2 linked regions of the Caenorhabditis elegans genome follow. The protein of the gene in region 1 purifies or fractionates together with the protein of each later gene. This does not show direct contact. Each region holds a gene or a part of one and is shown in the gene's direction. Other genes may lie near its edges.

Region 1 (6,695 bases):
TATGGTGGCCTAGTCCAACATATGCTTTCAAATCTCATGTGTCTCAATTGGAAGTTTTGATTTTCTAGTCGTGTTTAAACCGTTCAATGTTTAGGATTTTGCCCTTGAAATTGTGACGATCATCTCAATAATTCTCCACTGCCTTTGGATTATTGCAATTATCAATGCACTAAGGTACACATGGCGATTGAGAAGATTTGCATCTCATGAAATTAGACTCGACCTGGTGAGCCAATCTGGATAGGCAATTTGAATTCCATTGAATACATTTTAGGTCAAGAATGAAGCAGGTCTAAAAATGAAGCATTTAGTTGGGCTTTGTGTCTATAAAGAACCATTAGATTTGCTTATGGATACAATCGAGAGTATAGCTTCTCAACCAAATGCGAAGGAAAAGATCACTTGTCTTGTTGGAATGGAAGGAGGAACTCCGGACAAAGAAGAGGTGGGTGTTTTTTCCAATGAATCACTTTTCAAACGGTGCTCTTTTATTTAGAAAAAGCGCATTCTGGACAACAAATATGGGCCAAAGTTCGAGCGGTTCATTGTCACATTCCACCCACGTGGACTGCCGGGAGACATTCCAGGTAAATAAAACCGAATCAGAGAAAAATGCCAACGTTTGTTTGATTTTCCAGGCAAATGTTCGAATTTCAACTACGCGGCTAGGACAGCGGTCAAAATGTTGAGAGCCGACAAAAACTATCCATTAGAAGAGTATGATAACAATGTCGAACTGATTGTTACCACTGGAGACTGTGACAGTGTTTTCGGAGATAGATACTTTGATGCTTTAGAAGAAGACTATTGGAAAATTTCTGCAAAGCAAAGATCCTATACTGTCTGGCAATCTCCATTGTTTTATTGCATCAACTTAGACCAATCGCCATTTTTCGTCAGAATAACTGGTCTTCTGCGAGCATTTTTCATGATGGGATACCTTATTCCATGGAATATCAACACCATGAGCATTTTCTCACTCACATTGAAGCTTTTCGAGGAGGGAGAATACACTCACCCAGGATATCAAATGGACGATATCATTGCTCTCATTAGATGGTCATTGGCTGTGAGAAGAAAATGTGTGATCAGAGCGATCCCTGTTGCCACCTTGTCTGGACCCACCAGCGGTGAGTATTCTGGAAAAAATATGATTTGTATTTATATATTTAGTTTGCTTCCCAAATTTTAATTTTAAATTTATATCCTTTTTTTTTAGGAAAGAACTATATCGACGAATGGTACGAGTGGGCACGACAGATCAGACGCTGGACCATTGGAGCTGCTGAAGTCTTCCATTATTTTGCCATCAAATTTTTCCGTCTTCCGGTTACAGTTTCTATTTCATTCGCCGCAAAATTTGTGTTTTACTATGGGTTTCTTCTTTGTATTGCTTCAATTTACACTTTAATCGCGCCTATTGTGGTAAGACATCATCTTATTTTCCAACATATCTTAATGGAAGATATAAAATTCAGACCCCTGCTATGCTAAATGCAGTCGACCATGGCGTTAACGGGCTTGTCATTCCAAACAACAAATGTTTCATGATCATCATGTTCGGCTTCCTGGGTCTCCAGTACATCTGGTTCTTTACGGTTTTCCTGGTTAACTACCTTTGCCAACCGGTAATATCCTCATACTTCATAATGACCTCTCTCAAAAATAATTACTTTGTTTAGGTGTTCCCCAGACAAACTAAGGACAAAACGGGAATCATCCGCAACATTTTCCACTGGCTGATGACCTGGCCCACCCTGATTATGTACTGTTGTGTCGAATTAGTCGCATTTCTAGAGGTAAGTACTTCCGTTCCTATTCAGTAGTTTACATAATTATCATTCGTTTTGAAGGTTACGGTTCGCGGTAAATCTGTCTGTTCGCATAATGCTTCGAAGAAAGACAATCTCGTTGCGCCAGTACCCAGCAAACAACCTGACCGAATGGAAGTGTGAATTGATGCAATCAACAAAATTTATGAATCAATGCGAATTTGTATTTCCGATTTCTCAAGAATTTTATTGTGTACCATAAAGTAGCGGGTTTTAGTTACACTAGTCAATTTTTACATCAAATTATGAATTCTCTCATGCATTTCCAATTTCATTTTCATATAATAAAGCATTTTGTCTGTATCTGTTATAGCATTCAAAATAATTAGAACTCCAGTTTGAATTAAAAATAATAGTATATAACATCATTGTACTCTTGTGGTAGGTAATTGTTTAAATGTGTCACGTCAATCATGATGGCCCTATAGAAAACGCTAGTTTTTCTGTTATCTGATCGTGTTCCAACTGGCACGGAATTTCTCATTCTCTAGCCACAACCGTGTGACGAGCGGATCAATTCCGCGCGCTGTGTCATCGTCATGGACGCACAATAGCTTCTTATCAGCATCGCGTAAACGCAAAACCTTCTGGACGACGCGTTGACCTGGCCCAATTTCGATTGGACAACCGGGATGAAGGCGAATAGCAATCGACGGGAAAGGTGGGAAGAGAGAGCGCAGAGAAATTGAGAGTAGTGAAAGGACAATATCGGAGGGGGTACTTCTTGTCTTGATTCAACTAGGTCGGAGAGAGGTGTATATCGGGAACCCTCCCACATTGTCGTTAGTCGATTTGCATCCATCCACACTCATTGGCTTCTGCACACCAGTGATGCGTTCGCTTATTTGGATTTTGGCTACGACGTTAGCTGTGGCACTAGGCGCTATTAGCGAAGCAGACGTACCTGTAGTAATTCATCTCCCAGCACAACACCACCGTCCAAGATTTTTAGGACAGGTAACTTTTTTTTTCATATTTTTTTAGCCCATTTGTCAATTAAATATCGTTTAGGTTGTCCCACCACGTGCTGTTAATGCGGCCCCACGCGCCCCAGCCCCAACTATTGCCCAAGAAAAGGCTATCGCCGTTCCACAACCACAACAACCAATTGCCCTCCCACCAGCACCACCAGCAGCGCAACAACCAGTGTTGCCAGTGACCAATGGAGATCAATCATTTGCTCCAAGAGTTGGAGCCGCCATTCCACCACCTCCACCAGTCAATATTCCAACTGATGTTCAAAACCAGCTTATCAAATTCTTTGGACTTGACTCGTTTGGAATTCCAGGACTTACTGGCAACCATCCAGAAGGATTCGCTGGAGCCGTACAAGAGATGAGAGCTGCCGGAATTCCAGTTCCAGGAATTCCAGCCGAACAGGTTAACCCAGAAGCTGCCGGAGTCAAGACCGTTACCGATGGTTAGTTTTTATGTTCTAAAATGTTAAATTTAACAAAAACAATTCTAAAATTCTAATTTTTTTTCAGATGTTCTTGCACAAGCCAATCCAAATTTCCAAGACCAACTTTCCCAAATTCAAAACGCTGTAAACAATCCAGGACCATACAAGGGAGGAGCAAATGTTCCACTTCCAGCTGAGCAACCAGGAGAGAATGGTCTTATCGGACTTCTATCTAACTCTATCAGAAAGGTCATCAAGGAGAGTGAGTGGAAATTTATAGGTATTCTATCGACACGTCATACGTTTTGTTTCAGCCGGAGTGAGCGATGCCCTCTCCAACTCTCTTCCAAACCTTCTTGGATCTGGATCAGGAGCTGATTCATCATCTGCCCCAGCTGCATCATCCAACATTCGTCGTGCCCCACAAGCCGCAGCTTCATTCGATGACGCTGTTGCTACTGTTTCTGCATCTGCTGCATCATCTTCTAACATTCGCAGACAACCATCTGCTGCTCAAAGAGCCCTTTCTGGTTTTGCGGCCGCTCTCGGAGGAGGAGGCAACAACTCTCCAACTCATGCAGGACTCCCAAGAATTCCAGGAATCCCACTTCTTCCAGGAGGTATCCCAAGAAACTCTCAAGGACAAATTGACATCGTTAGTCTGATCGGATCAGTTACCAAGCGTGTATCTAACGGAACCACCCTTTCTGAGCTTCTCCCACCAGAGAGACTCCAAACTCTCGCTGACAATGTCACTGATGCTCTTCTCCCAGAAACACCAACTGTCGATCTTTCCAAATTCATGGGAAGATGGTTTGAGGGAATTAACTCTCCAAGAGCCACCGAACAAAGATGCGTTGTTCATCATTGTGAGTACAGTTGTTTGTAAAAAAGGAATATTTGTTTAAATCAAAAATTTCAGACGGAGGACTTACCCGCAATGACAAAACCGCCACTTTCACCGCTCTCAAGGTTTACAGAGAAGGATCTGAGTTTGGACCAGTCAAGTATTCTCTTGGGTATGCTTTCCGTGGAGGAAACAAAGATGCCATGCTCCAACTTCACTCTTCTGAAACAAGTGACGCTCAACCATGTATGTTTATTTCTTCCTCATTTTCAATAGGCACCTAATCCATCATTTTTAGTCTGGATTTACAAACTTGGACCAGAGGGAAAGAACTCATTCGGAGACTCCCAATACGAGTACGCTATCATCTCCAATTGGGTCAAATATCCAGTTACTGTTTTGGTTCGCGACCCTGATACTTTCAAGACCAAATACCAGAAAGAGGCAAGTCAGAAAATACATGACACTTATAAATGATAAATATAACTTTCAGGTTCTCCGTTGGCTTGAAGACCAAGGATTCATCAACGGATTTATCAGAGCATTCAACCTTCTCCAACCAGCTGGATACTCAACCTGTCAATACGCAGACTCGACTTTTGAAGTTTTCGGAAAGTAAATCCAACCACAGTCAACGAGTACATTGGGCCCTCAGTCGCACCCACCAAATTAATTTTTACTGAAAAATCTCTTAAATGACCTCTTTCTCCTTCTCACTTTTATTGCCTATTTTTTCGCCAAACATTCCCGCATCAGTTTGCAATTACTTGTTGTTGTACAGTTCTTAATAATTGCATTATAAATTTAATAACTCTTTAATAATATAAGAACCCGCATAATAAAAATTCGTAATAAACATTTCTTTCCATATATTATACTGCAATTCACAAATCCATTTACAACGCATTGAACCCCACTTAAAAAGGGTGAAGGTTACAAGTACACCGTGCCCTAATTACTCACGTAATGTAGGTAAATTGTGGTTTACTGCTTGATGAGACAGTTTCACATGAAACATGGAACACACAGGCACCGAAAATGAAGAGAAGAGGGGGAGCTTGAAGATTAATGGGCGGGGTTCAGGTTATGAAGGTCGAGGAAGAGAAAGGAGAAGGCGTCCATCGCAACAGCCAGCAACTGCAGCAGTCACTTCTGTTCACTACATATACGGTCAATATTCTAGTAGTGACCGGTGTCTTTCTAAAAATAATGTGGTCTCGAAATGTTGCACTGGTCTTCTGTCTCCTTGGTGGAGTTACCGCTATTGGAGAAAATGCGGTAAGTATCCCTTAAAACAACAAACTAGTCGAATTTTTCGGATTCAAATTCAATTTAATTAAATAAGATACAGAACATTGGAAATTATCTTTCTTTTGTTAAATGACATTTGTAATTTATGATATTTAGTAACTTACGTCAAGTTTTGAATATGTGTCAGCATAATATTAAAAATTGTAATTCAGATGGATTTCCAAGCCATTACTGGTATTCTTGGAGGAATTGGAAAAATGCTCGAAAGCAAAATTGACACCATCAATGTCCCTGCGGAGATGGTTATGGGAAAATGGTTCCAGATGTACAAGGCTGCTATGAACTTTGATGTTGTCCGCACCACAATGTTCTGCCCAGTTGCTTATTGTAAGTTTATCTTTCTAAAGTCTCAAAAACATGTTTTTGAACCTGTTCGAATCATAAACTAAGCTCAAATAACAAGTAACTTGCAGTCTCTCCTAATCCGATAATGGGTGAAGAAGGATTCTCGATGCAAGAAGCTTACAGAGTGGTTTCAAAAACTGGACCAATTGAGACTTACAAAAGAGACATGAACAAAGTTGGACCAGGACAATACTGGATGTACACTGAAGAGTACTTCTACCCAAGACAATGTGAGCGAAAAACATTTAATTTTGACTAAACTTGCTTTTCAGTTTACATTATCGGAGCTGGACCATCTTTCAATAATGGCACCAGAAATTCTACCGAGCCACTCCAATACTTGATTGCTTCTGATGCTAACCGACTTTCCCTCATGGTTTATGCTAGAGATCCTCTTGTATTTTTCCAGGTCAGTTGCGAAACATCAAGCGTTGCGGCGCGTGTTTTTTGTTTTTACTCTCCTGTAGGGCGCACTAGTGAGATTGATGAACACAGTGATTGACAGGAGGCGAGAATTGGGTTAGCTTATCAACATCGGTTGACCTTATTTTGAATTATTTCTCCGATTACAATCCGTGTCTATTGGATTATGGAATTTGGGATTCAGAAATCGGGAAAGAAAAAAAGCGAAAGTGACAATTGTCTGACATATTTGCAAACATAACATCATTTACAGAAGTACAACAAGGAGGTTGTTGAGTTCATGAATGGACACGGATTTGGAGGAAATGTCTTCTGGAACAGCCCAAAGCCAATTTACCAAGGACCAGACTGCGAATGGCCTTCTGAAAAGGAGGTCTTTGCCAGAAGGTAATGTAATTTACTCATGTAACAGACAGAAAATATAGTTTATTTTCAGAGTTTTGAAAAACCAAGAAATGAACGAGCGCAACAAGAATGGAACTTCAGACCCAATTCTTTCCGGAATGCCACTTGCCGACATGATCCGCGACCCAAA
Region 2 (3,905 bases), on another chromosome or scaffold:
TTAATCGTAAAACACGTACGAATGATCCGCCAACACTGTGGCAGGCGAGCTTCGGGAAATCATGAGCTTCTTCTTTGAGCAAATCCGCTTTTCTCAGCTTAACTTTTATCACTCCCACCGGGATAACTTCGAGAATGGAGACTTTGATACGACATAGCGGACTGCATGGTTTAAAATTTTCACACATGTGTCGCAGAGAACCGAAGAAATGGTATATCTGAAAATCCAACTAGCTAATTGTGCGTTTTTATTATTAAAAACTAGCCATGTTCTTGCTCATCGAAATTCCTTTAATAACTTTATCATCGTTGACACCCAGAAAAAGCCGTCCACCGTCAGTGTTCAGAAATGCGCAAATTGTTCTGAAATCTATATTTATTTTTTGGCTCCAGAAACACCCATACTTGCTGATCGGCTGAAGAGTTCTTCGAATAGATCCATCCTTGTCCTGCTTGCATTGAGTCCTCTTTAGCTGTAAATTGAAAATTCAAAAACCTTTATTTTCCACTTTAAATTACTTCAGTGAGCATCAGTTTGGTATGCATTCTGAACTCATTATGAACATCTTCTTCTACTGCAAACGGTAGTTTCACCACTACATGTTCGAATGAGTTTTGCTCCTCATAGCTCCACCAATTCACATTTTCATTTGGAGCATCGGAAACCGCAGTAAACTGATTTCCCGGGGGAAATTTGAACGGTTGAGATCCAAAGTTGACTGAGAGGCTTGAGTTTTGACATAAGACCGCCGGGAAGAGACACGTGTTCGAGTTTTTGTATTTCACATCGATGGAAAAAGCGGCGGGAAATTGTTCTCCATTTTTTGACCACCAGATGGTACGGGAATCCAGGTCAAGATAGCAACCGATCACATCGTTCAGAGTGAATGGGAGACCATAATCATCGAACTTTTTGTGGGTTGACTTCATTCCAGTCCCACCATAACCGAAACTATCCAGTCCTTTACCTGGAACATTTTAATTGGAATAAAGAATAATTTTGCACAATGCAAAAAAGTATTACCAATATTCAAACTTCCACCGAGAGTAGCCCAGCCAACTCTGCACAGTCCTTTACTTGTAATTGTAACTTCATAGTAATACTTTCCATTTCCATATAATCCGGCTGTTCCACGTGCTCCGAGCCATCTTTTCTTCACTTCACTTTTGCAGGCTAATCCAGTTTCATCAATTTCGAGATGAAGATCTTGATCCTGCTTGTTCAGTTTGGATTCACGTGGACTTGTGTCGGCCTGAAAAATAATATGTAGCATTAAACAGCACACCGGAATTTTTTGTTGAATATATTTATTTTAACTAATAGTGAGATTTAAAAATGCTAAAATTAGCGGAATATTAGAAGAGAAACTTTTAAAAAACTATAAATTTATTTTCTGATTCTAAAAATATTTAAAACTTACCATTTTTCAATGACCAGGCACGGAAGAGTTGAAATTTTAATTACGAAAATTAAAAAAAAATTATCTCGCGAAAAATGCACAACGATGCTCCATCGTTACGCGGCGCGTGTTGTTTAGCCGATAGAAAATGGAGGGAATTTCAAATAAATTTTTTGATGAAAAAATTATTTTCATACCACAAAAAATATTAAAACATCAGATTTAACAGAAAGTTCAGTTACACATTTTTTGAAAAGTTCGAAACTGAAATCGTTTGATCCTCCGCAATTGATGCGAATGTCTATGAATTGAACTGTTGGGCAACAAATCATAAACTGAAAAAACCATGTTGTAGTGAGAGTGTGTGTAGTCCAATTCAATATTCAAACCGGATTTTAGAACCAATCGTTTTTGTGTCAAATGTGCCTTGCCACTAATCACCACTACGTGTCGTCACAATTCGATTCGTATAAATAGTCGACAGGTTGTAGTAATTTCAATTCAATTCACTTCCAACTTTCAAAATGTGCAAACTTTTCGTCGCCGTTGCCCTTCTCGCTGTCGTTTATGCTCATCAAATGCCATCAGGTAGAAGTTTTTCATTTCAACGTTCTTCTTAAAACCCTTATAATTTTAAGCTGATGAGATGAAGGCCAAGCTCGTTGAGGGTGGAGTCTCCGAGGCTGCTGCCGCTGGACTCGTTGAAATCGGAGATAAGTACAAGAGCCAATTCCAGGCTCTCACCAAGGGAGATCATGAAGCTGGAAAGAAAGTTTTCGATAGCATGAAGTCCGAGTCTGATGCCTACATCGCCACCCAATCTGAAGCTGATCAGACCGCTTACAAAGCATTCGTTGAGAAGGCCAAGGAGCACTTCCAAGCTCACAAGGAAGCTGCTGCTGCCGAAAGTGCTTAAATATCAATTTTTTTGAATATGGAACCATTTTTTATTTGAAAATAAAACTTTAATTTCGCGAATCATTCCATATGTGCTTCATCCAGACATAAGACTACAGTAACGGGTGAAATATCGAGAACAACCCAATCTTTTTCCCTTGTTTTAAAAACCTACCTACCTACCTATCTACCTACCTACTTACTCTATCTATCTATGTAAACGTATTAAATAATAATAATAGTAATAATAATGATACTAAGCTATTCCATGTTCCTAATTTTGCTAATAGCTCAGACTTAAAACGATAAATAGCTGGAATAATAGTTACAGAAGCGAAAATAATATCAAGTTTCAACCTGGTATTTATTAACACAGGGTGGGCGTCATTGCAGGCACCAACAGGTCTACAAGTTACCTTCAGGTCAATAATAACTGGACTTGAAATAGATGTATCATTACCGTGTTATGCTCCGGCCCGAATAAACGTTTTTTCACGGTTTGTCAAAATGTACTTCTCCTTCGCGGCGATCAGGGTTTGTCTTTTAGGCATGTAGGTAGGCATGCTTTTCTTATGGCAGGTTCTAATTTTTACAAGAGACTTGTCAACATTTCAAACAGAAAATTCGATTCATTCAATACAAAAAGTCAAGGGAAAATGTATATATGTGCATTTCGAGCAACAACATCAGAAAATATTTAGTGAGCTGGAGTAGAGTGGTGTCCCTCGAATTCCTTCTTCTTAGACTCGATATAGGTGGCATAAGCTTTCTGATCAGCTTCTGGTTGAGTCTTGATGTAGGCATCCGTGTCAGTCTTGATCTCCTCGAAAACCTTCTTTATTGCTTCCTTATCGTCCTTGTTATCCTTGAGAGCTTCGAGTTGAGTCTTGTACTTCTCGGCAACCTCGACGATTCCTGCGGCAGAAGTCTCCGAGAGCCCAGCGGCGACAAGTTGAGCTTTCACCTCCTCGGCTGAAAATCAGATTCAGAGTTTTTCAAAGTTCAAAATATAAAAATTTCCTACCACTTGGTGGTACTGGTGGAGCAGCATAGATGGCAACAGCGAGAAGTGCAACGGCGACGAAGAGTTTGCACATTTTCTGAACAAATATTAATTTTTTATTTTGATGAGATACAGAAAGAAGATGCTTGCGAAAAGAACATATGAAACCAAACTTAAAAAATGATGATGTTATTTTCAGAGCTATCAGCACGGTTTTTATACATCCAAATTGAGATCGGTTCTAGGCGGAGACACATAACTGGTTTGTAATTTGTTACGCTTTCGAATTGAAAAAATATCCGTGCCTGTGGTTCTCTACGGCAATTATCTAGAGGGGAATAGTTCGAAAACAGGGAAAACGGTTAGATATTTTGATGTCTATCGGGTTATGGCACAACGTTTATCTCGAAGTGTTTTCGGAAAGTGTGAATCACGAGAATGACGTTTTATAGTATTCAATCAACATGAAAATTTTAATAATTGAAACCCGTAGTTCTACATATATTTAGCTTAATATTTTCGATAGGACCTAATTGTAAGAAATGTAAAAAGAGCTCCCGTTTTGTTACAAGGAGATTCTATTTAGTTTTCAATAGACGTCAACAG

What was found. Proteins that work in one complex are often made in the same cells at the same time.
Region 2: the proteins of lpr-3 (region 1) and spig-1 fractionate together in Caenorhabditis elegans (co-fractionation; one large-scale study listed by BioGRID). This does not show direct contact.

What each region holds. Positions count from the first base shown.
Region 1 is NC_003284.9:11,054,845-11,061,539, forward strand, and holds lpr-3 (Lipocalin domain-containing protein), read left to right. Parts: upstream 1-2,556; 5' UTR 2,557-2,663; coding exon 2,664-2,789; intron 2,790-2,843; coding exon 2,844-3,252; intron 3,253-3,319; coding exon 3,320-3,496; intron 3,497-3,548; coding exon 3,549-4,103; intron 4,104-4,156; coding exon 4,157-4,327; intron 4,328-4,379; coding exon 4,380-4,525; intron 4,526-4,574; coding exon 4,575-4,700; 3' UTR 4,701-4,949; downstream 4,950-6,695. Other genes in the region: C09F12.2 (Glycosyltransferase 2-like domain-containing protein), read left to right, coding at 95-226, 275-445, 497-587, 639-1,130, 1,220-1,425, 1,479-1,628, 1,683-1,799, 1,854-1,955; lpr-6 (LiPocalin-Related protein), read left to right, coding at 5,150-5,359, 5,545-5,719, 5,806-5,967, 6,010-6,146, 6,414-6,547, 6,597-6,695.
Region 2 is NC_003283.11:7,049,805-7,053,709, forward strand, and holds spig-1 (DUF4473 domain-containing protein), read left to right. Parts: upstream 1-1,910; 5' UTR 1,911-1,923; coding exon 1,924-1,987; intron 1,988-2,037; coding exon 2,038-2,315; 3' UTR 2,316-2,375; downstream 2,376-3,905. Other genes in the region: tofu-2 (Schlafen-like protein 2), read right to left, coding at 20-217, 266-362, 405-472, 519-967, 1,024-1,252, 1,421-1,423; txt-17 (transcellular chaperone signaling (x)cross tissue), read right to left, coding at 2,994-3,268, 3,321-3,393.